4 linked regions of the Pelodiscus sinensis genome follow. The protein of the gene in region 1 interacts with the protein of each later gene in a biochemical or structural test. Links are inferred from orthologs where the notes say so. Each region holds a gene or a part of one and is shown in the gene's direction. Other genes may lie near its edges. The genes, in order: GRB2, DNM1, DNM2 and SOS1.

Evidence for each region.
Region 2: the proteins of GRB2 (region 1) and DNM1 form a complex in vitro, tested with the Homo sapiens proteins (5 studies listed by BioGRID and IntAct, with this or other methods). The link is inferred for Pelodiscus sinensis from reciprocal best matches to the Homo sapiens genes GRB2 and DNM1.
Region 3: the proteins of GRB2 (region 1) and DNM2 form a complex in vitro, tested with the Homo sapiens proteins (3 studies listed by BioGRID and IntAct, with this or other methods). The link is inferred for Pelodiscus sinensis from reciprocal best matches to the Homo sapiens genes GRB2 and DNM2.
Region 4: the proteins of GRB2 (region 1) and SOS1 form a complex in vitro, tested with the Homo sapiens proteins (15 studies listed by BioGRID and IntAct, with this or other methods). The link is inferred for Pelodiscus sinensis from reciprocal best matches to the Homo sapiens genes GRB2 and SOS1.

What each region holds. Positions count from the first base shown.
Region 1 is NC_134730.1:12,214,508-12,221,457, forward strand, and holds the start of GRB2 (growth factor receptor-bound protein 2), read left to right. Parts: upstream 1-3,948; 5' UTR 3,949-4,183; coding exon 4,184-4,261; intron 4,262-6,950. UniProt on the Homo sapiens protein: Non-enzymatic adapter protein that plays a pivotal role in precisely regulated signaling cascades from cell surface receptors to cellular responses, including signaling transduction and gene expression.
Region 2 is NC_134732.1:11,330,143-11,337,348, reverse strand, and holds the start of DNM1 (dynamin-1), read left to right. Parts: upstream 1-4,191; 5' UTR 4,192-4,457; coding exon 4,458-4,618; intron 4,619-7,206. UniProt on the Homo sapiens protein: Catalyzes the hydrolysis of GTP and utilizes this energy to mediate vesicle scission and participates in many forms of endocytosis, such as clathrin-mediated endocytosis or synaptic vesicle endocytosis as well as rapid endocytosis (RE).
Region 3 is NW_027465894.1:173,552-180,922, forward strand, and holds the start of DNM2 (dynamin-2), read left to right. Parts: upstream 1-4,368; 5' UTR 4,369-4,465; coding exon 4,466-4,626; intron 4,627-7,371. UniProt on the Homo sapiens protein: Catalyzes the hydrolysis of GTP and utilizes this energy to mediate vesicle scission at plasma membrane during endocytosis and filament remodeling at many actin structures during organization of the actin cytoskeleton.
Region 4 is NC_134713.1:196,919,895-196,927,352, forward strand, and holds the start of SOS1 (son of sevenless homolog 1), read left to right. Parts: upstream 1-4,443; 5' UTR 4,444-4,836; coding exon 4,837-4,923; intron 4,924-7,458.

The sequences.
Region 1 (6,950 bases):
AATGATACATGCACCAAAATAGGGTATACAGATCCAGCAGATTGTAACATTAAAATTGATAGCTTACATGAAGTATTTTGTCTAAAGCATCTCCAAGTTACGTACCTCTATATTCACAAGCCAATTTTCATAAAGCAAGGGTGGGAGTAACTGTCACACATTCTATATGCAAATATAAGGGAGAAGGTAGTGGAGGAAAACAACAAGTAGCACAAATATGAAGGGAAGTAGAACAGCTCTTAGCAGCACAGAAGCACACAAGGGCAATTTTAGAGTAAGCTCACAGCCATTTATTTGGGGACCCTGTACAGAGTCCTGAAAGAGATTTTACTGGCCTGGGGTATGGGTGGAAGTCTAGCGCTACTGAGCCTCTTGTCCAGAACACCCATTGCATAGCCCCCAACCTCACTTACAGGCCCTGTTACTGAAGTCCTTTTAAAAAAGAATAGCCATGGACCTAGTGGGCCCACTCGGAAGTTTGGTCTGGGGCATCAAAGTATACTTGTCATCCTTGGCTATGCCGCAAGGTATCCATAAGTCATTCCCCTAAGAAATCCCACATCCTAGGCAATAGCAAAAGAATTGTTCCAGGTTTTTGTGAGAGTGAGCATCCCTAAGGAAATCCTGACCAACCAAGGAACTCCCGTCAGGTCAAAATTAATGTGGGACATATGCACACTGCTCTACATCCAGGCTTTGTGGACTCAGTCTACCGCTCTCCAACCGATGGCCTGGTCGAGCAATTTAATCATACCCCCGAGAGCATGATCTGGAAGGCAGTGTCCCAGGATGGAAAAGACTGGGATACCCTGATACTGTACCTGATGTTTGCAATACAGGAGGTCCCCAAAGTGTCTATGGGATTCTCCACTCTTGTGGCATGTTAAATATCATGAAGCAGGATTAAGAACAGCCCAACCCAGAGAAGAATGTCATAGAGCACATAGCTCTAGAGAGAGAAAATAGTGCAACTGACCCCAAAGTATAAGAGCAGTTGGAAGAAGGCCCAGAAGACCTATGACAGCCACTGGGTGAAAACAGAGATTTTAGACAGGATACCAGGTGCTGGTACCAATAGCAGAAAGCAAGCTACTGGCCAGCTGGCATGGGCCATATATGAGATAGTGGAAGTTGCTGGGGAAGCAGACTACAAGATAAAGCAACCAGACTGCCAAAGGCCAGAGCAGATCCACAGTGTTAACTATCAGAAAGCATGGTGTAACTGGTAGACATTCCTGGTCACACAGGGAGCTCTACCCCAGGCAGATGGCCCACAAAGGCAGTTATCCCTGAATTAACTCCAGAACAATGAACAAACATCATTGACATTATCAAGTGGAACTAAGGGGTGTTCTCCATGCAGCCAGGCTGTAGGATGATGGTCCAACACTATATTGTCATCTGTCCCAGAGCAAGGGTGAAGATGAAACCATACTGGAGGCCAAAAGTGAAGAAGTTAAGATGGAGGTGATGCTGGAACTCGGGGTGATTGAAAAACCCCACAGCCAATGGTCCAGCCCTAGTCCCAAAGCCTGATGGCACCCTGAAGTTTTGTAATAACCCCCGGAAGTTAAATGAAATATCCCAAATTGAGCTAGTTGATCAGTTAGGCAAGGCCCAACACGTCGACGGAGCCATGTAGATGAATTTACTAGACAGGAAAATGAAGCGGCGATTTTTCTTATTCGTGAATTATTTTCCTTATGTAACTTGATTGAAGTGTGACTGACATTTTCATCTGGTTGTTTTCTGGGGCTACTGCACAGTGGTGCATTTTCTGTTGAGTGGAGCTGGCCTGGGCTGTGGCACCTTTCTCAGGCCACGGCAGCTCTGGATGGGGTAGGAGTGCAACTCCCTGACCACAGCAGCTCAGGCTAGGCTAGACCAAGAGAGGGGTACCTCTCCCTTCTTGCACAGTCCTTGATAGCTTGCTGCATGGTCATGCAACTTAGAAAGAACTTAGGTTATGAGTGCTATGTAACAAAAACTTGTTCTATGTAGCAACTAGCAACTGATAATTAACAGCCTCAGGACCTCTTTGCATTGAATTGTCAGTCATTCAAAATAATAGTGATAGAAATGTAGCCGTGTTAGTCTGGTGTAGCTGAAACAAAAAACAGGACTATGTAGCAGCTGGGTTTATATATATGCTGGTAAAAGCTTAAGTTAGAGCCTTGGCGAGGATGTGTCATCTTGTCATTGCAGTACAGTATTGAAGGGAACCCAGGCTAGTGGGTTAAGTGGGCTCAGTGGTACCCCAATTCCAGATGGCACGCAAGGGGAACCTGTCACAATCACATATTGTGGTAGGCATGTATATAGGGTCCATGGATCTTGAAAGATGTGTTTTGGGGGAGGGAGCATGGTGAGCATTGCAGCAGTGGAAAGCTATGTCTGCAGCCTTTGCATCTGCTGTTCTGACATGCTCTGGTGCCACTTTGAGTTAGTGTGGTTTTTGTTGGTGTGTTTGAGCTAGGAAAAGTTGGGGGTTGTTTGAGGGCCAGAAGTGAGGTTCAGGAAAGATTTTGTTCAGGATGAGATTCCCATCAATTATAGGCTGTAGTCAGTTATATTGCGTAGCAAGGGGTGAGCAGTCAAAGGGGATTTTATTTCTCTATTGAAGCAGGCTGTTGGCGTATTTGGAAATGGGCCACAGACAAAGAAAAAAGTGTGCACATTTTAATGGATGTCTGTTCATTTGATTTGCTTTTTGATGGGTTGGTGTATCGAAATATCTTAGGTCAGGTCTACACTAGAAACTTCTGCTGGTATAGAAGATATTGCTTAGGAGTACAATCTTGCTCAGGGGAGAGGGTTATGACACTTCTAAATGGCCCTCTTTTTCTAGGGTGGACTAGGCTAATTTGCTTTGATTCTGTCCTGTGATAGGAGAATTATGCCCTTGAATGTAATCCCATATATCGTCTCACTTAAAAAATAGAAGGAAATAAAAAACATTTAGGCTATATAATTTTTTCAATTCTAAAGTTTCTCCCTAGCTTCCCTCCTGAGAGTGTGTCCTTCCCTCTCCCACTTATCTGAGCAGCGACAGTTCTGTTCTTATTAAGATGCTTGAAGGATGAAAAGGTGTGTGCGCATGCATACACTGTCTTGGGGGTGGAAGGTGGGACTTGATATCACAAGTGGGTAAGATCATGAAGGCACGGTTTCCTCCCCCATGGTATACCTCAAGCTAAGTGAGTTGACAGTGTTTCGAACACTCTTGCAAAAAAAAATAAAAAATTCTGGGATGTATTAGCAGTAGTGTTGTAAAGAAGACACAAGAAGTAATGTTTCCACTCTATGCTACACTGATTAGGCCTCAACTGGAGCATTGTGTCCAGTTCTGGGCGCCACCTTTCAGGAAAGATGTGGACAACTTGGAGAAAGTCCAAAGAAGAGCAACAGAAAGTCTAGGAAGCATGAGCTATGAGGAAGACTGGGATTTGTTTAGTCTAGAGAAGAGGGGCCATGATAGTAGTTTTCAAGTACATAAAAGGGTGTTACAAGGAGGAGGGAGAAAAATCCTGCTCCTTAGCCCACGAGGATAGGCCCAGAAACAATGGGAGGTTTAGTCCGACACTAGGGAAAACTTCCTGTCGGGGTGGTTAAGCGCTGGGATAAATTGCCTAGGGAGGCTGTGGAGCTATTTCAGAGCAGGTTAGACCCACCCCTGTCAGGGATAGTCTAGATGGGGCTTGGTCCTGCCCTGAGTTCATGGGGGGGCTAGGAGTGTGGGTGCTTTCTGTGTGTCCCCACAGCGCGAATATGGAGTCCCCAAGGGGAGAGCGCGCTGCGGCCTAGTGCAATGAGGCCGGGGGCCGAGAAAGCACGCGCAGGAGCACCCAGCTCTTTGGATGGGGTGCGCCTGCGCGTTGCCCTGTGCGCTGCAGTCCTAGCTGCTATTGGCCGCTTTCCATGTCACTCCTCTCTGGCTGCTTCCGGGCGGAGCCCCGGCTTGAGGAGGAAGCGGCGGAAAGCGGAAGCGGCGGCCGGTTCTGGCTCGGGAGGAGGGAGAGGAGCAGGGCGCGGCCCCTGCCATCCGTCCGTGCCACACTTCCCCTGATGGTCGGTCTCTTCCTCCACCTCCCCTAGGGCCGCCCGTGAGTGGGGTAGACGGAGCCGGAGGGAGAGCTCCCTTCCCAGCCACCCCCCGCGCCGCTGTTCGCGGAGCAGCCCCAGCATGGAAGCCATCGCCAAGTACGATTTCAAAGCCACCGCGGACGACGAGCTGAGCTTCAAACGGGGGGATATCCTCAAGGTAAGAGCCGCGGAGGCTTAGCGAGCCCTCTTCTCCCGAGTCACTCGGGCCCCACCATCTCTGGAAATACCCCCCACCCACCCACACACTATCCCATTTCCTCCCCCGTGTCTCCTCCACAGCCCTTCTGACCCCTTGGGCTGCTCTTCGACAGCATCTTCCAGCCCGCTTGTTTTTAATGGCAGAGAGCTAGAGCATAGACCAGTAGCTGAGAAGTACTATTAACTGGATTATTTTTTTTCTAGAGATGCACCCTTTGATAGTAATCCACAACTTAGTGTTTCATCCCTTTGCCCCCTGCCAGAAAGATTTGCATGGAAGAAAAATTGGGTCATCTTTTTGCCATCACGCTGCTAAATATTGATACTGATTTTCTTCTTCTTCTTCTGTGGTGTTAGTTTTCAGCGGTAAATCTGTAACACTGAGTATTTAATGGAATTGTAAAGGTGTGAGTGGATGCCTGGGATAGATTAGATGGGTTTTGTGTGTAAGTTTCTCAATTTATTGAAGAGTAGGAGTCCAGCATAAATTTATATTTGCTTTTTAAAAAAATATATATGCCTAAAACTGAAGAAGAATCTAGAAAGAACAAATGAAGAATGTATGCAACAAAAACAGAAAATGGGGATTTGGTAACGGATTATAGTGCGTGTTTTGTATAAAGATTCTAAACTATGCTGCTTTCAGAATAACTAAAGTCTAGTTTGTATTCATATAAGGTTTTTTTTTTAATTCTATGGTTAATATCACCATGTTTGTTATGGATAAAACAAGATGGATACTTTTTCTTCTAAGCAATTGAGCCATTAGCGGTTTAGCTTTAAAAAGTTGAAATCCATATCTTTATTCTCCAAAATAACCTGGACATAGATGGCTGAGGATTAAAAACCATGTTCTTTAAAAACCCAATCCCACAAAGATTTTAAGCACATAAATAACTTTGTGAATGTGAATATTCTTCACTGGGACTATTAACCTGCAAACAATTACAAACCTTTAATTTTTTTCGGAGTTGGGGCTAAGAAATAGTAGCCTGTTCAAGGAGTGATGAAAAGGCCCCTTTAAAGGCAAACTTAAATTCCATTTGTGCAAAAGAATCACATTAACTACTTCATTGATGCAAGAAATATATGGATTCTGTTGCAAACTTCCTATTTTTGCCATAAATTATGAGTTTTCTGCTTATCTGAGGAAGTGGGATTTGCCCACGAAAGCTGCTTATACATATACATAAAATAAATTTGTTGTTAGTGTCTAAAGTGCTATAGGACTACTCCATGATTTTTCACTGGCTGAAATTTAGTATACAGTGTCATAGAAAACCAGTTCCTTAAACATTTTAGTTGGGATGATAACCAATTCAATTTAAAAAAATTTAAAAAGTCCTGCAGCACCTTAGAGACTAACAAAATATGTAGATGGTCATATGAGCATTCTTGAGCACAACCAGTGCGAGCTGGAACTGAGCTGGGCTGCCTTGCCTGCCTGGCTCCTAATACATTTTAAATGCAGAGCTGCAGCAGGGGTAGGTCCCAGACCTGCTATAAGCCAGGACTGAGCTGGGCTGCTGGCCAGCCTGCTAGAAAATTTACTGGCAGCAGGGGAGAGGGAATGCGTGTAGTCTATATCATTAACCTATTAGCTTTTGCTTATCAGTTAGTCGACTACACTATTACATCCCTAATATATAAGGATTTCTTTTGTCTAAACTAGGAAAATGAGGACCTGTATTGCAGTTTATTCAGACACTCTTACTAGATCATGATTGTGTTTGTGAGATTGTGGCAGAAATCTGAGCTTTATGTGTGGCATGCTTCATGAAAATTAACTTGTGAAACTGTATAACTCAAAGATCCTTTAAACAAAATACCTTTTGTAACATCAATTTTAATGTTACAATCTGCTGGATGTGTATATCCTATTTTGGTGCATGTATCATTCTTGTGTGTGAAGTTATGAAGTATGAGTCTGTTTATAGTTTTAATTGTGTTAATGAGAGCCCTTACTAGTGCCCTGGAAGCCTAATGGCTTGGTGATAAATTTGTAAATAGTCTTGCTTATCCTGTAAGTCCAAGTCATGGTTCATCCTAGGAAGACAGGTGACTATACCACCTGGTACTGAAATCCATTTTGAACCTGGTATTTTCCCATGGAATCAGGGATGTAAAACATAGACTTTACCTCAGGGCTGGGAATACTAAGCAACGGGAAGCAATCCCCCTTGTCTTCAGCTGGCTTTGGAGACTGCCTGGCACACCCTAAGAGGAAAAAAGAACTTTAAAGAAGTCTGGAGACCAAAATCAGAGTAAAAGATCATCTGTGTTTTGAAGCTGATGCCTGAAATAAGAACAGTTGTTTAGAGTAAGAATTTGCATATGACCAGTTTCTTAGTGAATTAGAGCTAGTTATCCCTTTTCTATTCATGTTTATTTAATAACTTACTTTGATCTTACTTTTTGGCCAAACTGGACAGCCTCTATGGCAGGGCTGAGCAAAATATGGCCCAGGGGCTGGATCTGGCCCGCACACCCACCTGGCCAGGACTCTGTCCCAGGCAGCTGTGTGGTTTAAAGCTCAGCCTGTGCATCTCTCTGCTCTGCAGGAAGGGAGAAGATTCATGCAATCTCCTTGCCCCTAGCTGAATCCTCACCTCTGAGAGGCTAGAAACAACTGGCCAATAGGAACAAAT
Region 2 (7,206 bases), on another chromosome or scaffold:
TCAAAATAATTACTCCCCAGAGTAATTCAAACTAATTACTCCCCAGTACTTCCTGGGGCTCTAAGTCTAAGGTACTGTGTCCACATTAACGGACCCTGGTTTGGACTAATTTCAAGGTTTCCCCATAGTATGGACACACTAGTTTGAATTTGTTAAATCAGGAGTTATTAAGTCGCATTTACTAATTTCAAAATAGATTCCTAGTGTAGACACCGTCTTTTTAAATAACTCAGAGCATCTGATCAAAGTGTTGTAGCACTGACTAAGCACTTGAAAAAGTGTATATATTCTCCTATATTGATAAACACCTAGCCTGTTCCCCCAATCCTTCCTCAGGGTTTATATTCTTGTCTATTTATAGACGTCTCTTGTATACACACAGGCTCAAGAACATGAACCACCTGGTGTAGGGTTACTTTATAACCTGATTGCCTGAAGTTCTGAACATTCACATCCAGTTGAAGTCAGTGGGAGCTGTGGGTGCTTAACACCTCTGAAAATCAGCTGTTTATTAGCAGGAGCCAAATTGTAATAGTGTCTCCTCTTTGTATTTGGTTTGGTCTGGTCAGGGCCAGATTAACCCATCATTGGGCAGTCGGCAAACATACACTTATGGGCCTCTGACTTCTAGTCTAGTGGTTTTCAAACTACTGTTCATGACCCAGTACTGGGTCAGGCACTGGGTCTCCTTGCTGCAGGGGGATCAGGTGACCAGTGGAAGTGCTAAGGCTGGCTACCAGCCTGTCCTGGCACCACAGAAGTGGCCAGCAGCAGGCTTGGCTCCTACGTGGTGGTGGGGAAAGCGCACAGGACTCTGCACACTGCCCCTGCCCCGAGCATTAGCTCCGCACTCCTCTTGACTGGGAACCTGCTGCTGGTTGTTTCTGGGGTGCAGCATGGTCTGTAGTGCCAGCGCAGGCAGGAAGCTGCCTTAGCACCCCTGCTGCACCGCTGACTGAAAGCAACTCAAAGTAAGCCCCTCCTGCCACAGCCCTGTCACCGTCCCCCCTCAAAGCTGGAGCCCCCTCCTATATCCCAAAGCTCTCATCCTCAGCCCCATTCCACAGCCCACACTCTAGTCAAATTATGTCAGGTTGGAGGCAGGGGGGAAAGTAACTTACATTTCTTACAGGTACTGTCCTAACACAACCCAAGGGAGGGGGCTTATAGCAAAAGTTGTGATACAACTATACCTGTAAGAAATTTAAGTGTGCAGTGGAGCACCGGGGCGGGGGGGGGGGGGCGCTCAGGGCAGAAGGTTGGGGTGGGCAGAGGTGCAAGAGATAGGGAAGGAGGCTGGAGATGTGGGGGGTGCTGGAGACAGGGTTGGAGTGATGAGGGGCTTGGAGCAGGGGTTTTGGATGTATGAGGGGCTCAAGGCACAGGGTTGGAGTGTGTGTGTGGGGTGCAGGAGTGTTATGGCAGGGGCTGGAGTGTATGAGGGGCTCAGGGCAGGAGTTTAGGGTATGTAGGGGTACAGGAGTTAGGGCAAGGGGCTGGAGATGTGGGGCTGCAGGAATCAGAGCTGGAATGCATGAGGAGATCAGAGCAGGGGGTTCAGGTGTATGAGGGACTCAGGGCACAACATTTGGAGTGTATGGGGGGTGCAGGAGTGTTAGGTCACGGCAGGACAGGGGGTTGCCACCAGCCCTTCCTGCAGCCAGATGGGAGCTGGACCACTAAGCCTGCCTCAGGATGGGGGCCAGAGACAGGCTGTTGCAGCCAGATGGGGGCTGAGCCCTGATTGGGGCCTTGTTGGCCAGGCGGCCAGGGCAGGAACTAGGGATGTAAAAATTTAGTCGATTAACAGATAAGCAAAAGCTTATAGGTTAATGCTGTAAGCTACACGCATTGTGCCCCCCGCCCCCCCACTTGCCAGTAAATTATTTAGCAGACTGGCCAGCAGCCCGGCTCAGTCCTGGCTTGTGATGGGTCCGGGACCTACCCCCGCTGCAACTTTGCATTTAAAGTGTATTAGGAGCTGGGTAGGCAGGCAGCCCAGCTCAGTTCCGGCTCACGCCAAGTTCAGAAGCTCAGACCACTCCCTAGACAGGGGCTGCTGCCACCCCACACTGCTGCCTCTTTATCAGAGGCAGCAGCACAGGACAACAGGTAGCTGGTCCACAAGGGGAGCTAGTTTTTAAACTGGCTTCTCTCATGGACCAGCTCCCAGCTGTCACCCCACGCTGCTCTCTCTGATACAGTGGCAGTAGCACAGAGTGGCAGGGGTCTTCTCGGGAGTGAGGCTGGAGAGTACTGGCTGCTAGCCTTGCCCCCAGGGACTATACAACAGTGGACTAACTGATAAGAATTCATGAGGTTACTCAACTATTCAATTCACCAATATTTAACATCCCTAGTAGGAACCTGAACTCGGCCACAGGGGCTGAGCTCCTGCAGCAGTCGCTGGGCTGCCAGAGCTAAGCTGTGAGGTCTGCCCCAGGAGCACAATGGCTGGGGACAGACTACAGAGGTTAGATGGAGGTTGGAGCCCCCACCACTAGCCCCTCTCACTAACCCAGTTGAGAGTACGCACACATCCCTTACAGCGCGCCTTCAGTTGGTCCCTCTACATGAGCTGAGTGCCCCAGCCGGCTCTTGCCAGAGTGCAGTCAGTGCTTACTGCAGTGGTGCACCGAGGCATACTTCCTTACACTCTGGTTGCAGGCTCAAGTGATTTTCTTCAACTGAGCCATGAGAAAAAAAGTTTGAAAACCACTGTTCTAATTTGAATAACTACAAACAGCTGACATACACACCATCATTGGTCAGTCTACAGTATAAGAGCTCTTCCTGAAATAAGGCAGAGTATAAAGAACTCACATCAGGCCTGTGGTATCTTCCAAAGTTGTGTGTAGCTTGAGAGCCAAAGGTTATCGGTAATTTAAATTCTAATTTTATGAAACATAAATATGAAAGTAAGATAGCTGAGTGAGAACTCACGAGAAATCCTGTTGTTGCATCTCTGGCTCTTCTCCATCCCTCTGGTTATATATTAGTCAGATTTTTAAGACATGAATGTCAGTTGTTGCCACAGTGCACTTTCAGCGTTCTTTTGCAAGCCTTTTCTAAGGGAAACACAAATGTGTTAATTTAATTTCATATCTCCCGTGGAACAGAATGATCAAAGTGATGATTTCTGGAACACAGACTCACTCAGAAGGAAATGCCTCTTTTTATAATGTTAAACTGACAGATGAGGATAAAATCCAATATTCAAATAGTTTGATGGTGCTACTCCTTGCAAAAAATGTTAATAGCGGCCATCAAATACATTCAATTTTATGTACATTTTAGAATTGCTGATTACAGCAAACCTCTTATCAAGATTGTGGGGGTGGGGCGGACTTGGACTGCAAACAACATGACCAGAGTGAAATTACTTACCTGTAAGGAATATTTTTGTTTTTCCAACAACACTTTCAGTTTAATTATGGCTGTAAATGTTATTTTTGTAAAAACATTATTTTGCAAACTGAGCCAATTAGTTCCTCTTTATTGTCTCAGACTGTTAAAAGAAACAGTGGAAACACATATGATTAAACATTTCCTTGCATTTTTTGTAAATCAAACAGCAACAATGTCTAGGGCATTATAACCAGAAATTGAAACGGACTGGGAACAAAACAGCAGAAATTAAACTGCAGAAACAATTAAAAGTAAATTAAAAGTAAAATTAAAAAAACCCCTTCTACTTTAATTATTAGTAAGCTAGGTACGTCCATTTACAAGAACAGAGATTATTTACAAAGATGTAATTTAAAAACCATTTAGCTATTAATTGCAGTTTCTCTTGAATATTGAAAGCACAGATTTGTGTGTGTATGGGGGGGAGTCTGTTGTTTGGGAGGAGTGAAATATTTCTGGCTTTTTCATTACAAATATATCAATAAATATTCAGATCCTCCAGGTTTCACATTTTGGAGGATTGATTTGAATACCAATTTTGAACCCCTTTTACGATGGAGGATTTTTGCCGTGTTTCCATCAGACCCCGGCAGACTCCCTTGTTCTTAATGTCCCTGTATAGGAACAGATCCCAGGCTATTGAAGGCGGATACTCTCAAGACGCCTGGCTCCCAGCGTAGCTCCCTTCTCAACACCTTTACGTTTACCTATACGAACTACAACTCCCATGAAGCTCTCGGAGCACAGTAGGGCACGTAACACCCCCTAGCGGTCGCTGATGCTACGTGCGCTTTAAATCCCGTGAGGAGCCGGGTGGCTAGCGGTGCTTGAGCTGGCAGTCGGGGTGGCAGCCCTGCTGCAGAGACCAGGGACCTAGGTTAGGCGGAGTGAAGGGGAAACAAACGCACCGCCCAGCTGAGGGCTGGGGACAACCCCTGATGAGGACTTGGGGGGCCAAAGCCCAGCAGTAAATCCTTTGCCAGGGAAGCGGGCGGAGAGAGGCGTCTGCATTGCAAGCCCAGCAGCGAGAGCCCAGCAGAGCTGCAGACATGGGGAATCGAGGGATGGAAGACCTCATCCCCCTGGTCAACAGGCTCCAGGATGCCTTCGCGGCTATCGGTCAGAATGCAGACCTGGACCTGCCCCAGATAGCCGTGGTGGGCGGACAGAGCGCCGGGAAGAGCTCAGTGCTGGAAAATTTTGTGGGCAGGTAAGATTTTTAAAATGCAGCCGATTATAGGGGAGGTTATGGGAGCAATGCATTGCTCAACGGACATGCCATGCAATGCTTAATGCAGTGCAATACAGGACAGAGGAGGGGGGCCGATCTTGCCCTCTTCAACTTGAGGTTCTTGGGAGAACCGTCATCCTAGCCCCTGCTACACACACACACACACACTGCACCCTACAATGCAGATATCAGGCGTCTCTGTGAACAGTGACATTCCCTGGATTGTCACCTTCACTAGCAAGAGAGCCCTCTTCCCCTCAGCATAGAAGTGCATGTGTGTGTTTGTATAAATGTCTGCTTTGAAATGGTAATATCTAATTGGGAATTGATCAATGGCGGGCAGCATATTGCTTGGTGGGCTGGGAGGGGTGAGGTGGAGAGTGAGTGTGAAAGAGGTTGAGGGAAGAATGCAGCATCAGGCAAATCCTGCTTTTGGAGTGACTAATGCACAGAAGAAGCCATTTGTTTGGGGGTGGAGAGGGAGTAGGAAGGAACAGAGCTGATGTGCTGCCCACATCCCAGGGGATTTAATGGTTTTAATCCTAAATCGTTTATTTATTTATTTTTGGGAGCTACATACAAGAAGGCAGAATCCTGGGGATGAGCAAGAAGCCAGGATGGTGGAATTCTCCCCCCCCCCCATCCCCCCCCCCGCTGTTGGAGGACAATTGCTGTGGGCACTGGCAGGGTGGGGAGGAAGGCACTGCTTCAAGGGGAAAACGAATAACATAAATGGCTGCATATAAAAAAATCATGGAAATCCAGTAAAGCACAGACTAGTGCTCCATATGTTATGTAATGTCACGGACAGAAATGTCAGGGGGAAAATAGCCACACTCTTGTGTGTCCTTTATTTTTATCACGTCAAAGACCTGCGAGCCAGAACCAAAAATGATACAGGTTCCACATCTTTTTTGGCAATGTATTATCTAAGGTGATTTAAAAAAATACTAATCAGTGAATATTGTGTGTGCAGATAAATAATTGTATAAAAACCTGTTAATACCAAGATGCCCTTTAGCCATGGTGATCTGAGGACTAGCTCCATCAAGACTAGATTTCTTGTTTGCTTTAAGTTTCACCCTGAAGAATCCCACAAGAAAATGCTAGGAAGATTGGATTCACATAGCATGTCCTCAGCTCCTGATTATACCTGGCTAGATATAGGACATGCCTTGAACCACACGCAGCTACCTAAAGATGGATGTGCTTGTTGTGAGGCTGTGCAGCAGTGGACTTTAAGTTCAATTTCATTTTCCCCCACCCCTTTCTCTGTCCTCCATAGTGGCTGCCATGTCAGGAGCTGGGGGGAGAAGCAGAAAAAGCAATGGTTATTCCCCTACGTGTTCAACTCCCTGGGTGCTACCATTTTGTGACCGTGATATTCTGGTGCTTTCCCTTCATGTGACCTTCACATTAATCACCAGCAGTTTCAACAAATACCAGATGATCAGGGAAGGTGGTCTGCACACACATAGTATACACAACACCTGGAGTGTATCCTGAGCTTGTTTGTAGCTTGCTTAAGCTATTGTGGCCCTGGCTTGCTATAATCCTTCCCTATTAGGCACTGCTATCCTTTATGACCAAGATACAGGTTAGTGCTGATTTCCCTGGGAGGAATTACTTTCTTCCACCAACTGCATTCTCCCTCTTCTTCCCCTGCTTTATTGCATGGGCACTCTCCTTCTCTTTCGCCCCTACTAGCCCCTGCACTATGACATCTGCTATTTTATAGCTCTATTATCATTGAAAGAGTCTGTCATGAGCCCAAATAGCTCCAGTTTTTGTGGTATTTGAACAGAGTAAGTCCAGTATGCTGTACAGGGGCTCAGGTGACCCTGAGCAATGAGACTCAGTATGGCATTAGGAAGATGCCACTGCTGCTGTTTTTGAGGAACAAGAAAACATAGCAGGAATCAGAGTTGTTTAAATAAAATCTCCCATTGTCACATACTCAAAAGAGCCTGAGATTCTTCTCTGCTGATTTTCAATGGTCTATTTCAGAGATTCCATTCTGAATTAGTGTACCTGGGAATCAGGATGTGGGAAGGCTGTCCAGAAGCCTCCGCTATAATTATGGTTTATTTGTATTACCACAATACTTAGGAGCTCCCATCGTGGAGCAGGACCCCATAGTGGTAAGTGCTGCACAAATACCAGAACAAAAAGATAGTTTCTGCCCTCAAAAGCTTACAACCCACTGTGATCAAACCTGCTGGGAAGAGAAAAAGGGTTCCCAGAACTGTTACTGAGCAAAACCTTGGTTAGCCCGTTGAGTTTGTTGCTGTCATGGTCCCCCCAAATCTATCTTTTGTGGAAGTTCTATATGGTGACTACAGCAAGGATGTACCAAGTGTGTTCATTGAGCAAGAGCTGTTTCAGAGCAAATAGCTCCTTTCTTTTAGATAGAGCAAGCAGAAGGGGACAAATTGTAACTTCACTGATTCCAATGCAGAGCTTGAGCTTAGCGGCTTGACGGAGGGTGAATGAACTGAATTATATTATCCATAATTTGCCAGTGACCTTTGTCTCAGTAGGGCTCATGACCTCACTACATCCTATCA
Region 3 (7,371 bases), on another chromosome or scaffold:
CTTTGAGAAAACAATTGAATTCCAGGCAGGGCCTGTTGTCCTGGCACAACCAAACCCCGACACGCTTTGCTAGACGAGGAAGCTGCCTGGCGGAGTGGGTGGTCCGAGCTCTCGCCGGTTGCGGGGCGGGTGGGCGTGCACGCTCCCAAATGCATCATGGATAAGGGCAGGCTCTAGAGGGAGTTAATGAGCAGATCTCTTCCCCACCCCCTCCTGAAAGCAGCTCAGCTTGCCCAAAGTTGTCATGGGCTACGTCTACAAACGAGGCTAAGTGGGGAATATTGCCACACCTCATTTGCATACCTAATGAGCCGCCGTTTTTGCAGAAGAGGCCCTTGCGCCAGAAGGAGCTGTCTACACCGCCCCGGTTGTGCAACAAACACCCTCTTGCGCAAGGCCGCTTACTTTTCAGGAAGAACGGCGTTGCGCACGAAGGGGAAGCGTAGACAGCTCCTGGCGCAAGGGCCTCTTCTGCAAAAATGGTGGCTCATTAGGTATGCAAATGAGGCTCAGCAATATTCCCCACTTAGGCTCATTTGCATATTTCTGGCGCAAGAAGCCGTGACTAGACAGAGCCATGGTGTTTTCAAACTCACCGGGCTGAGGCCCTTTCTCCGGAGGGGAAATTGCTGCCGGCTTCCACGGTTGGGTACCTGGATCTAGTCTCAGAAGCAGACTCCTGCTGTTGGCTTTTCACTGCCTCTTCACTAGCATTTGAGGTGCTGCTGGGTCCCTGAGAGGTGGGGGCGGGGGAAGGCTCTCTCAGGGGACCGAGCGCCTGAGCTCACCTGACTGCCCTTTGCAGTTGGGAAAGGCTCCTGGCAGCCCAGCGCAATCCAAGGGGGCTGGCGTAAAGAGCGAATGCAGGTCCTCAGACCCCCGCCCGCTAGCACCCCGCAGTCACAGGGCCACAAGGGGGTGGGGGGCAGTGGGTTACAGAGCGTTACAGCCAGGGGCCTCCAGTCCTTGGTTTCTAGAGTCGAGCCACATGACGACGTTTCGCTCCCGGACTCCTCTCTGGAAGGTGTTTGTGCCCCTGGGCAGTGCCCTGTGCTCACCCGTGGGAGGCGGTGTTAGAGCAGCGCCAGTGTCTGGTTTCAGCTGTGTTGCTGGGCCAGGTGTGTGTGGGCCCCTGGCGGTGCGTGGGGGAGGGGGATGGGTCACGGTGGGGGTGGCTGCTGGTTTGGCAGCTGTTCTGGTAGGGGCTGGCGCTGGGGTGAGTTGTGGGCTCCTGGTCTGGGCAGAACCTGCTTCTACTGGGAAGCTTGGGGGGGGGGGCACAGGTGACTCCTGGTAGCATGCTGGAAGAGCATCTCCCATGGCCCTGCTACAGGGGTGCCCCCTCCCTGTTCCTCTGGGTGGCCTCCTTGTACCCCTTTCCCCTGCCATCCCCAGTCACCTGGGGGCAGTTCCACTAAGCATGGGCTGTAATGGTTTCAGGATCACTGTGTAAGTCCTGGCGGCCGGGGGGGGGGCCTCTTGACCCTGGTCCTGGGAGAGCTCTGTGGAACCTGAAAGCTTGTGTCTCACCCATGGGCCTTGGTCGCCTGGAAGCCATTAACCTCCCTCCTCTAGCACTCACTGTCAGGGCCGTATGTGCCGGTCTGTAAACACTGTACCCCTGGCACCCCCTGGCACCAGAAGAGCCAGGCCAAGCAGCACCCGAGGAAAATCCAAGGAGAATCAATGAGCCCTATGCCTTGTAAGAACGGGGGAGACCTGTGTTCTAGTCCCGCTTTGGGACAGACGTGTTGGGAGACCTTGAGCAGTCACTCTGTGCCTCAGTTTCCCCTCCCACCCTGGGTCTGTTTAGTTGGCGAGCTCTTCAGGGCAGGGTCAATGGTTTGTTTCTCTGTCTCTGCAGCACCTGCCCCAATGGGGCCTCAGTTGCGATTCGAAGACGACACACTAATTCTGTTGTGAGCACAGGAATTGTGCTGGGGGAGCACTACCGTGCAGTCCCTGTGCAAGGGACCGTGGATTGTGCCCTGAGAAGCCCCAGCACCCAACCGAGATCAAAGCAGTGACAACAACCCAACTTCCTCCAGAGCGGGGTGAGGCTGCGGCATGGCCGAGCGTTTGTCCTGCTCCCCGACTCCCTAGGGAGTGGGCGTAAGGCGCTGCCCAGGTGCGGCACAAGGGTGAACTAGCGGGCTGAGAGGGTATTACTGGGGCAAACCGGCTGGGAAGCTTTCTGCTAAATCCTCCCGCCACCTTTAAAAAACGGTCAAAATCAAACACTTGTGACTATGGAAACAAACCAGTGAGATTGTCTCCCCCCCTCCCCCCCAGGTTCTTTTCCTTGGGGTTGCAACAATTTTGATTCACACTCTTGCACACGCTGCTCTGGAAAGTTGCCTGCTCAGCGGTAGCTGAGTTTGGGGCCGTGTGAATGGGGGAGCCATCGGGAATGTGATTCCCAGGACACTGCTGCTAAGACTTGGGTTTCTGGTGTGGATGAGAAGGGGCTGCCCCTCCCAGCTGGCTGCCCCCTTGTCCTATAGGAAACTGGCTTGATTTTCTCTCCGGGGCTTGCATTGTATGTGCAGAACAGCCCTTCCTTCCCCAACCAGCTCCCGCTCTGCTGCCACTTCTCGGGCCTGATGCACCGGGCTTGGGTCCTGACCCCATCCTACTGTGAGTGGCCAGGGTGTTAAGCTTGGCTGGGCTGCTGCAGCTCCTAGAGCCTGTGGGGAAAGTCACTGTGCAGAAAAACCCTTCAGCAAGTTTGGCCTCGTCCTGGCTTGAGCAGACACTTTCCTGAGCTGAAGTCAGGGTACCCAAGCAGGCAGGAGCTGTGCTCAGTGGAGGGGAAACTGGCTTCAGGCAAACATCCAGCAGAGAGCAGGTCCAGCCCCAGTCTGATGGCGTTAGGAATGCTGGAAACTGTCCGTTCTGCCCTAAGGCTGACACTTATCTATAGGGTGACCAGCCCGCATGTGTGAAAAATCAGGGTGCTGGGGGCGGGGGCTTCTAGGTCACTTATAGAAGACAAAGCCCCTAATAGTGGCACCATCCTGACATTATCAGGACATCTTGTCACCCTACTTGTGCCCAGCTCTGAGCCTCTCCTTCTACTTAATAACGCCCCCCCCAGCCACAAAAATTCCTGAGACCAATAGCCCTTTAAATGCATTATCATTTAAGGTAGAAATTTCTCTCCCTGGCCCCAAAAAGGAAACAATGGCAGACCCTCCCTGAAATCCCCTAGTGGCTTTGCTACTGTTTTGGGCGGAAGGTGCCCTGAGACCTTGGATGATGGGCAGCAGCAGAGAGTGGCTAAAATACCAGCACTAGTGCATCCTCCAGTGGGAAAATGGGGTAGAGCCTGAGACTCGGTTTACCATCCTGTACCTTTGGGTGCCCCGTGGCGCCCTTCTGGATCGTGGGTAGGGGCTACCTGCGACGCCCACTGGGAATCTTCCTATTGCTAATCTACCAAGGATGCATGTGGGGGGTAGCAGGAAGCTGGGGGCAGACTGAAATGGCTCCAGCAGCATGAGTGTGGTCTCAAGGCAGAACGGCGATGCAAATAAAATGCATATAAAGTGACAATGTTTGTAAACAGTTTTGGCACCTATCTGGAGTCGGGCAAGAGATTTAGGATAAGCGTCCTTCTCAGTGGCGCTGCTGAACTGTGCATTGGACAGGTTCTATATGGGGAACTACGGTAGCCCAATGGTGGGCGTCTAAACTGGGCAATATGCTATATAGGAGGGCAGCTTGTCTAGCTAGGAGAGCTATGTTACCCCATGGGGGGTGGTTCATAGTAGGCTTCTGTATGGACAAGGGGCTGCCAAACAGAGAGAATTAAGGTAATGTAACATGAGCTTCTAGAGGGAGATATATGGTAAAAAAATTAAGAAGACATACGCTAATGTAACGTGCTGCTATACGGAGAAATGAGGTACTCGATTGAGATACGTTCTATACGAAGGAATACGGTACCGGCGGGGGGAGGGAGGGGAGGGAAGAGGACAGGAGACCAATAACGAGGAGGGACATGATGATTGACATTCTGATCACGCCTTTCCTCGAAAAGTCCCGCCTCTCCCAATGAAATGGATGGTGTGGCAGAGTGACAAAAGTTCTGACCAATGGAGACAGGGCGCAGTGAGGGTCGGAGAGGGCGTAACCCTAAGGTAGAGCGACTGACTTCTCCTCCAATGAGGAACCAGAAAGGAGATATTAGGGCGGGACCTAAATATCCCGCCTTCCTGACAAGGTCACGCGTGAACGCTATAGGTTGGGAGAAGCCAGTGACAGGGCAGGCGACCAATAGCCACGCGCCGATGAGGCCCAGCCCTCCACCCACCGCCCGCTCTGATGGAACGGCCGTCCCTATTGGCTAGCGCCGCCGCGCGGGGCGGGGCAGGGAGGGGTGAAGCGGCGCCGGAGGCGGATGAGGAGCCCGTGAGGGGAAGCTGGGCCGGGAGCCGTTGCGGAGCCGGGCCCCGCGGCCGCCATGGGGAACCGGGGCATGGAGGAGCTGATCCCGCTGGTCAACAAGCTGCAGGACGCGTTCAGCTCCATCGGGCAGAGCTGCCACCTGGACCTGCCGCAGATCGCCGTGGTGGGCGGCCAGAGCGCGGGCAAGAGCTCCGTGCTCGAGAACTTCGTGGGCCGGTGAGCGCGCGCGCCGCGTACTGCCGTTGGGGGAGCGCGCGGCCGCGCCTACGCCGCTTGCGTAAGCCGGCGGGACGGGAGCGGCCGGGCGGCTCCGCGGCTGGCGCAGGCGCGGTCTGTGAATCCGCTTCGCGTCACTCGCGAGCGCGCGCCGCCCTGGGTCCTGCGCCGCTGGCGCGAGCGGGGCCGTGCGCAGTTGGCGTAGGGCGCGCGCGCTGGCGGCGTAGCCAGGTCGCCTCTCCGCGGGACGCAGCGGGCGTAGAGCGCTCTGTGAATAGCAGGGGGGTGGGGCAGCAGGCGCGTCCCCCAGTCCTGGGCACAGGCCAGCTCCCCCCAGTTGTCCCCTGCCCCAGAGGCTGCATGGAGCCCCCCTCCCCCCGTCAGGAGCCATGACTTGCTCTGGGGTGCCCCCCACGCAAGGAGCAGGGCTCCTGGGGGGGGCAGGATTCTCCTCCCCCCCCCCAGCTGTCATCCTGCGCCTGGTGGGGGGGGGGGGGCTCGCGCCGGCCTCCTGAGCCTTGGGGGCAGGGCTGCAGACTCCCACCCTTCCCGAGAGGCCGCTGCCCCACTTGCTGCCACCCTGTTCCTGCCGAAGGGTCCCTGGGGCTGAGCCTTGCAGGTGCAAGGTGCTGGGACTGGCACTTTGGCTAGGAGGAGGCTGTTTGCTGCTAACTCCCCCCTCCCCCTGCACCTTCTTGGGAACTGCCAGCTACTGCAGCAGAAGCTGAGCTCTTGTCTAGTCTATATATTCCTGATAGACCCTGTGGAGCTTTTCATAAGGTCTCAGGTGCCATGGCCTCTCTTGTTTCTGTCTCCAAATCCCTTACCTTCTCCAGTTCCGTTTTTACACTGGCGAGCTGTATGTTACCCTGAGAGAGAGAAGACTTAGGTAATTCCTGTTTGTCTTCTGCATAAACCGTCTTCCACCCACTTCAATGGGATAAGAATTGGGGAAGTGGTTTGTCATGCCTGGTGGGATCTGTTAAGATGCAGGATATGAGCAGAGTGGGCCAGCTGGTGTAGAGGGTTGTTCTAGTATTTGTTTTAATTCCTTAAACTCCAAGGAGGAAGATCTTTAATCTGCACTGGTAGGAGCCAGTGTGCCACTTGATCCAGCTAACTGTACTTTATACAAATGTTCTGGTATACCCGGAGCACACTGGATCTGCACTTGTGGTACTGCATGGGCTATTTAATTTCAAGTGATGATCCCTGTTTCAGTGATAGTTTTCCAAACCAGTGGGAAATGGAGCGGAGATGGACTTTAGAATCTGCTGAAAAATGATCCTGTGAAAAAGAAAGTGCTTCTGTAGTCAGGCTGGGTTCGGTCAGCATTTTGTTTCAATGGTCTAAGAATAACCTGGATTGTTAGTGAATTGTGGAATGCATGTGTGAGGTTTTTTTGTATTGATCGCTCGAGCTGAAGTCAAGCTCTGTGTGATGCTTTAACAGAACAGCTTTGGTTGTTGTTTCATTAATGGCACTTAACTTGCAGATTAGTGGGGGTAGATGTCAGCATCTTTGAATTCCTTAATCACAATTTTCAGGACTCTTTAAAAAGTGGTACAAGGATCTACAGGAGAACAAGTGTCTGCAAGGTGGGGAGGACAGTTTTGTCAGAGCAGCTGACAAGGTTCCAGAGCGTAATTCTAGAAACTGGAACCTGTTCTTCATTCAAGTTAATCTTAGACTTATAGCAGAGTCCTAGCCTTTTGCTGTTCCCATGGCAATAATGCCCATGATGATCTTAATTCAAATGGGGTCCTTTTCTGCTGGTGCTGTACAAACCAGGACCTGGAAATTGTGTACCTGGATGGATTAGGGATGTTAAGAAGCATGTAATTGGTTAATTGTGTAGTGGACAAACGTTTTGTCAACTACATGATTAATCAGTAAGGAGTAACACTGCTACCACTCGCTCCTGGCTCCTGCTGGCTCCGGCCACTACCCCCGCTGTGGCTCTGCACTACAAGCGCTTGTACTGCAGAGCCACAGCAGGGGTTGATGCTGGGGCCTGGCACGAAGAGCCAGTGTGCAGGCAGGCTGGCTCAGTCCCGGCTTATGCTGGGACCTGGCATCAACCCCCACTGTGGCTCTGCACTATAAGCACTAAGAACCAGTGCAGGGGGTTAATGCTGCGACTGAGCCAGCCTGCTAAAAAATATATGGGGAGAGGAATGTTGCGTGTAGTTGATACATTAACCAATAAGGACCTGCTTGTCGGATAACCGACTAGTCAACTGCTCTATTATATCCTTAGTGTGGATCATTAGGCTCCTGCCTCGGTCCCACCCTTCATGGATCTGTCTGCAGGATCCAGTCCCTGCTCTGGGAGAGTGCATTCGAAGACAAGCTGCAGCAAGTGGGCTTGCTAGATAAGGGGGAGAGGCTGAGGTGAGGTGTCAGTCACAAGGTAGTGTGGTGACAGGGTAGCTACTGCACAAGTGGACTGTAGAGTCCACTAAAGCTTTGGGTTTTTAAAGGCTTATTTCTTCTGGTGTGACTCGAGTCCCTTTTAATTGTTTCTGCTTTTGTGGTGCTTAACCCCTGTGACCTGGGGAGCAAGGTCACTTATAAGGGTCTGTCTTGTCTCAGGCTGACCTAAGTTTTCAGTGTGTTGAATTTCTGCCTTTTCTACAGCTTGTCCTAGCTTAAAGGATGCGGGTAAAAGGTTGGTAACTAATGCGTGACTTTTGCTACTTGTAGGATATCTTTGGTAGAACAGGACAATCTAACTGGGTATAT
Region 4 (7,458 bases), on another chromosome or scaffold:
GCCTGTTACTTCTGAGAACACATCTGGAGGGATGAGTGAAGAAGTGTGTGAGTAGGAGATATAGAGACGGGGGATTGGGAGGTTCTGTGGGGGACAGTAAAAGGCTGTTTTAGAGAGGGGGAAGCTTAACAAAGAACATAGTAAAGGATGGAGAGAGCACAAATGAAACAGGATGTTGCCAAATTATGCAATAGAATGGGGGGGGGGGAGAAAATCAAAATGACCATTGCGACTCTCATGATCGGGGATGATTCTGCAGCTCTTACAATTAAATATATGCAAATAGGATTTATTAATAACCAGAGCTCAACAAACTGCTGTTTCTACTTGCCCGTGGTAAGTAGATTTCAGCTGGTCACTCTATGCGCCCCATTCTCCGGCACTGCGCGCATGCACGGTGCGGGGCTGGCGAGTAGCTCTCACCACAGTTTGTCGAGCCCTGTTCATAATAATTGAGGAGGACTGAGCTTTCCTTGCATCTGGTGGAAGTCATTCCCCTCTGGATAATTCTAATAAAGAGCAGTTCATAGCCTTTAGACCAGTGTTTCTTAAACTGTGTTCTGCAGCACTGGTGTGCCATGAGATAGTTGGAGATGTGCCGCGGAGAGCAATAGAGTTCAAAATGGCCATGCTTAAAGGGGCAGGTGACCTTTTTTCCTCAACTTTCCCCCAACCCCTCTCTTTTTTTTTGGTCAACTTTTCCCTGACCCCCCTTTTTTCCCTCAACAAAAAATCCTTGGTGTTCCTCATAAAAAAAAATGGTTTGGTGTTTCTTGGTCTTAAGTTTAAGAAACACTGCTTTAGACTGTACAGGAATAGGCGCATTAAATACAGCTTCAGGGAGAGAGGGATGGTAAGCCTGAACTTCGGAGAGGCTTCACTTAGCTCTGGTGAGGATAGGTGCACAGAGTAGGGAACTGGAACCCTTTGAGGCCAGCTCCAGATTGAGCATTTTCCTGATTCTGACTTCTGCCTGTGAGACATTCCCCAAGAAAGAGCAGGAATTCTCCATTCTATGAGGGATCACTATAAACGCTGCTGTTTCCAAAGAAGAGAGCATTTGGGCAACTTCAATTATGTCTGGACTTTACTCTCCCACTAAAGCAAAATTCTATCCCCATTCGAAGATAAGTAAACTTCTGTAAGAGCAAGGGAACACAATGTAATACAAAGGCCACCTTCACGCGAGGAAAGCATCTGGACAGGCTGACAGTTGGTGGGTCTTGATTGCAGTTTGTGCCACTTGGTCTCTCTTGGAAACAAGTGCCCCTCTCAATCGCTGGGGACCTGTAGAGGTGACTGCTGGTGTCAGCAATACTGGAGGAAAAAAAGTCAAGTCATTTTGTCTTCTGGTTTCTCAGCTATTGGGGGTTACACAACATGGTTCTTTTTTTTGCTGAGAGAAACTTTTAAAAAAATCATGTGGGTTAGACACTTCATTTAAAAAATGAAAGCTGAGATTCTTAATCACTTGCCTCCAGGAGCTGGAGAAAATGCCAAATATTTGTGAAATGCACTTTATAGACTAACAACATGTAGATGGTACCATGAGCTTTCATGGGCACAGCCCACTTCTTCAGATGACTGGAGTTATGAGTTTGGGATGTATACACTCAAAATAAATAGGAGGGGAAGGGGAGGGAAGAAAAAAGCAGGGGGGTGGGTGGGAGACAGAGTATTAGTAAGTATCTGGAGAATGGGTACTTAAACGGAAGCAGATAAAAATCAAAGTCAATAGAGCCCCCTGTCAGGAAGGAGAAAACACAAAGAGCTGTTAGCACCTTCAGTGGTTGTTAAATTGGGAGTGTCCCAACCAGCTTTCATCACAATTGAGTCCATTAGCATGTGAATTGAATTTGCAGATGAACTGTAATTCCAGTGTTTCCCTGTGGATCTGGTTTGTAGAGCTGGTTTGTGACAAGACAGCTACTTTGGAGACCTGTCTGTGATTTGGAAGGTTGAAATGTTCCCCAATAGGTTTCTGTACATTCCCTTTACGTATCTCTGATTTGTGTCCATTGATTCTTTCCCGCAGAGACTGTCCAGTTTGTCTAATATATGTAGCAGTGGGGCACTGCTGGCATAGATCAAATTACTGGATGTGCAGTCAACTAACCATTCAATTTGGTGGCTTATCTTGTTTGCTCTAGTGATGAATTCACCAGTACAGAAACATGGGCAGAGTTGGCTGCAGGGCTGGGTTCCTGGAGGCTTATGATGTGGTTGTGTGGCATGGTTACCAGAAAGAATTTGTTTCACATTAGGGGGCTGTCTGTAAGCAAGAATAGGTCTCCAATCATCTGAAGAAGTGGGCTGTGCCCACAAAAGCTCATGATACCATCTATATGTTTTATTACTTTATAAAGTGCTACCAGACCATTTGTTGTTTTTTTTCTGTAAGGGTATGTCTACACTTGCACCCTCTTTTGAGAGAGGGATGCAAATGAAGACATTTGAAATTGCAAATGAAGCTGGGATTTAAATATCCTGCACTTCATTTGCATAATGGCATTATGGCGCTATTTCTAAATAACAGACGCTATTAAGACACGGTTATTTCAAGAGAAAACTCTTCTCTCGAAATAACCTTTTTTGCTCATACAATGAGGTTTACCAGTTATTTCAAGAGAAGGATATTTAAATCCCAGCTTCATTTGCAATTTTGAATGTCTTCATTTGCATCCCTCTCTTGAAAGAGGGTGCAAGTGTAGACATACCTTTTGCGGAAAAGGTACCATACCATACGCAGCTGCTTTTGCGGAAAAACTTGCCAGCTGTCTACACTGGCTGCTTGAATTTCCGCAAGAACACTGACGATCTCATGTAAGATTGTCAGTGTTCTTGCGGAAATACTGCTCCCGCTCGGGCAAAAGCCCTCTTGCGCAAATGCTTTTGCGCAAGAGGACCAGTGTAGACAACACAGTATTGTTTTGCACAAAAAAGTCCCGATCGCGAAAATGGCGATTGGGGCTTTCTTGTGCAAAACCGCATCTAGATTGGCACGGACGCTTTTCCGCAAAAAGTGCTTTTGCGGAAAAGCGTCCTTGCTAATCTCACGGAAAAACTTTTCCATTAAAAGCATTTGCAGAAAATCATGCCAGTCTAGACGTAGCCGAACAGTTGTTCTTGTGCAAAAACTTGCCAGGTGTCTACACTGCACACACATTCTTACGTAAGTAAATTTAAGTACAGCGTCAGAAAACAGGGCTTTTCCCGGGAGAGTTATTCCTCTCCCCACGAGGAATAAGCCCTCTTGTGCAAGAGCTCTTCCACAAGAAGGCAGTATAGACGGGCAACATGATTTTCTCACACAAGAAAGCCCTATGGCTAAAATGGCCATCAGAGCTTTCTTGCACAAGAGAGTGTCCACAGTGCTATGGGCGCTCTTGCGCAAAAGCACATTGCTTGCCCAAAAGCACATGGCAGTGTTAATGCGCCCTTGCGGAAGACCTTTTACACAAGAACTCTTGCGCAAAACAGTTCTTGCACAAGAAGCCTGCAGTGTAGACGTAGCCTAACAGACTAACTCGGCTACCCTCAAAGTAAAATTGCTTGGCCCCTGGAGCAGTTTCTCAGTTGATGACAGTCCTGGCAGTTGGTGCGGGTTAACAGTTTTTGTCATCTGAAGACAGGTGATGACACATGTTGATAGCTGATCACTTGTGGTTGCAGGTTGTGACTGATCAGGAACTTTTCACCAGCTGCTTCCATGTGATCAAAAATTATGGCCATGTTGTGTCTGTTCATGAGTCTGACAGCTGGAGAGAACTGGTTACATTTGGCGTACAATGAGGACAAGTGGAGGCCGTTGGTGCCAATTTGGGATATTTTGATGGAGGTTGCAAAACCGAGTGGAAGCGTGACAGGGTTGGACATCTGTGCTAGGGGGTGATAATTTGACGGTTAGTGATGGTCTGTCTGTCTCAGAGCTGGTGAAAGAGGGTAACACTTCAAGGCCATTTGACAACAGGTGACATTTTTGTTGTGGAGATGGTCACAGCAGGGCTGTGGTGTGGGAACGTGAGGGTTTCATTGCACGGCTGTTGCAAAAGGTGGGGGGGGGGGTGAAGCTGTTGTCTGCCTGGCCCCATAGGACACGTTTTGCCCCTTCACTGGGAGCCAACAGTGGAAGCTGCCTGGGCTTTTGGGGTGGGGGGGGGGTAGGTAAAGCCCTGGCAGCCGGGGGGGGAGGGGGGCAGGTGAGAGGGCATCAGCCAGGTGGTCCAGGGCCGGGGCCAAAGAAGGAGCCGCTGTAGCCCCTCCCGACCTGCAGGGGGCGCTGCCTGCGGAACCGCTTCCCCGCGCCGGCCCAGCTCGGCGCTCGGCTGCGATTCCTGGCCGCTCGGCCTGAGCCGCGCTTCCGCGCTGAGGCTGGGAGCGAGTGGGCGGGGCGCAGGAGCAGGCCTGGCGCGCCTGCGCCGTCCCTCCCCGCGCAGGCGCCCTCGGGAGTAACCGTCCGGGCGAGGAGAGAGGGGAAAAAAAAAAAAAAAAAAGCCCCGAGAATTCCAGCCGCGCTCGCGCTCCCGGCGCGCAGACCCCTCCTCCTCCGTGAGGCGGCGCGTGTCCTTCCGCCCTGCGGCGCGCGCGGGCCGGGGCCGTCCGTTGGGCCGGGCATGCCCGCGCGGCTGGCGGGGCAGGGCGGCCGCGCGCCTCCCCGCCGAGCGCTCCGCCGGCCTCGGAGCCCTGCGCGGGGCGGGCGCTGAGGCGAGACCGGGGCGGGGGCGGGATGCGGCCGCCGCCCCCCTGCGCTGAGCCCTGGCGGCTGCTGCCCTCCGGCTGCCCGCGCCGCGCCCCCCGCTGACCCCCCCGCCGCGCCCCGCGCCCGCCGGCGGCAGGATGCAGGCGCCGCCGCTGCTCTACGAGTTCTTCAGCGAGGAGAACGCGCCCAAGTGGCGGGGGCTGCTGGTGCCGGCCCTCAAAAAGGTGAGGGGGCGGGGCGAGCCCCCGGGGGGCGGGGCGTGGGGCCGGGCGGGGGAGGGGCGGCCCAGTGGAGGGGAAGGATGGGGGGGGGGTCTCCAGTGGCCTGGACGCTGCTCCCGCCACTGAGGGGGAGGGGCGGCCTTGTGGGGATGGTCCAGGAGCCACCCCCGGCCCTTTCCAGGAGTCGGCTGGGTCGCCCCCGGCCTCCCCGCCCGCTGGGCCTCCCTTCGCGCCTACGGGCGTACGGAAAGCAGCCGCAGACCTCGCCGAGCGCCACGGCGCGGGCCCGAGACGTGACCGAGCGCCCCGGCCCGAGACGTGACCGAGCACCACAGCGCGGGCCCGAGACGTGACCGAGCGCCCCGGCCCGAGACGTGACCGAGCACCACAGCGCGGGCCCGAGACGTGACCGAGCGCCCCGGCCCGAGACGTGACCGAGCACCACGGCCCGAGACGTGACCGAGCGCCACGGCCCGAGACCTCGCTGAGCGCCACAGCGCGGGCCTGAGACGTGACCGAGCGCCACGGCCCGAGACCTCGCCGAGCGCCACGGCCCGAGACCTCGCCGAGCGGCGCGGGCCCGAGACCTCGCCGAGCGCCACGGCCCGAGACCTCGCCGAGCGCCACGGCGCGGGCCCGAGACGTGACCGAGCGCCACGGCCCGAGACGCCGCCGAGCGCCACGGGGCGGTGTTACGGCAACAGGAGCACTTGGTTCATTTTTATCGTTTAGTTATCTAATTGATCCATTTGATTGGAAATATCGTACTTACGTTTCAGGGTATAGTCTATGCAGCAGCATACACAAGTCACTGGCTATGTGAAGGTTTCATTTTGTACTAGGGATGTAGAATCCCATGTAATTGGTTAACCGGTTAAATGTGAAGTTTGCTTCACTTTTTAACTGGTTAAGGGCCCCCTGCTCCCTGGCGGAGCCAGGCTGGAGCAGACCCTGCATGTGCACCCTCCTCCCCCATGTCCCTCAGGCCTGCTGCAGACAGGGGCTGTTGCAATCTTTTGGAGCAGCCCCTGTCCGTGGCAGGCCTGGCGAGCTGTTCCAGCCCTTAACCAGTTAACTTTTCACATTCCTACTTTGTATTGATTTCGCTAATGCTTTTTCTTTAGCCTCTTATAAAAATAGGCAACTATACAGATAAGTTTATGTACCCCTGGAAGACCCATGCATATCCCCAGGTATATGTACCCCTGGATGAGAACCAGTGGTCTAGTTGCTATCTGAAAGAAGTCTATGTAAAGGATTCTCTAAGCTTTGTCAGTAGATTTGGAGCAAAAGTGTAGGGAGCAAGAGTGTAGGAAACATGATCCTATCCTATTTTACTAAGGCCAAGTCCACACTAACACTTCACAGCATTGTAACTTTCTGGCTCAGCCACACTCCCAGCGCTGTTAGCTCCTCCCCTCGCAGAGGTGGTTTACATAAGGCGCTGGGAAAGCTCTCAGCACTCTTGCGGTGGCCACACTTTCAGTTTAAAGTGCTGCTGCGGCTGCACTTTAAACTGCAGCACTTTAAACTGTTAAGTGTAGAGAAAGCCTTACTTCTGGTTTGTGTCTTGGTGCTTCTCTGATGTCGAATTTGTGGTGTGACGGCCTAGTTTATAGCCCAAGGGTGGCTATTTTTTTTTTTTCATCATTACAGCCTCATTTATCTGCATTAATGACTGGCTGATACATCACATGATATCAAATATTGCAAATACATTTTAAAAATTAACTATTTCATATCTGTTGTTTTGTTTGTCATAGTTCATATTGTACTGAATGTACTGCAGTAAATTTTATGACCTTCGTAATGAGAGATCTCACTGTGCAACACTATGCTATTAAGCATACTGAAACACAGGGGGAGATTCTGATAGATTTTTCTTAAGTTGGTATGTTTGCAGATAACAGTACATTTGGTTAGGTTCTCTTGTGTTGTCCTTTTGTGGATCGTTGTTTTTAGAGTAACTATATTTTGTCAGGCTCACTTAGTCTTACCATACCAAAGAGATCAGGCCAGTGAAGCCTTATCCTTGGACATCCTTCCTCTTGTGTTCCAGCTTGGCTCAGAAATCTATTGTTATTGTTTAATTGTAACTTTTTGTGGGACTTCCTTTCTTTTCCAAGTTTGTTAGTTGTGGAATGATTTTTCATCTCAAAGTTGCTTGTTGTCAATCTCTTGTAATTTCTGTTTTTAAACAAATATCGCTTTAAAGGAACTTGCACAGCCTTTTACACTGAAATATTTGTTTATCCCCCTGCATGTTTGTGCATATGAAATTTCTCAGCTGTGATGGTTAGCCTATGTGTCTTAGCCTTTAAAAATAACATTCAACTCTTTTTATTAAAGGAAAAATATAATAAATTCTTAAGGCAGAACTTAGAATTTTACTTTTAAACTCTACAAGAACTTGAGGGGGTAGACTTTTATAGTGAAAATATTTTGCTTAATTAGAGTTGTGGCTTAATGACCTGACTTTAGTTTTAGTATAATTTTGTAAGAATGCCTTTTGCTAAGGATGCTTTCATTAGAAATGAA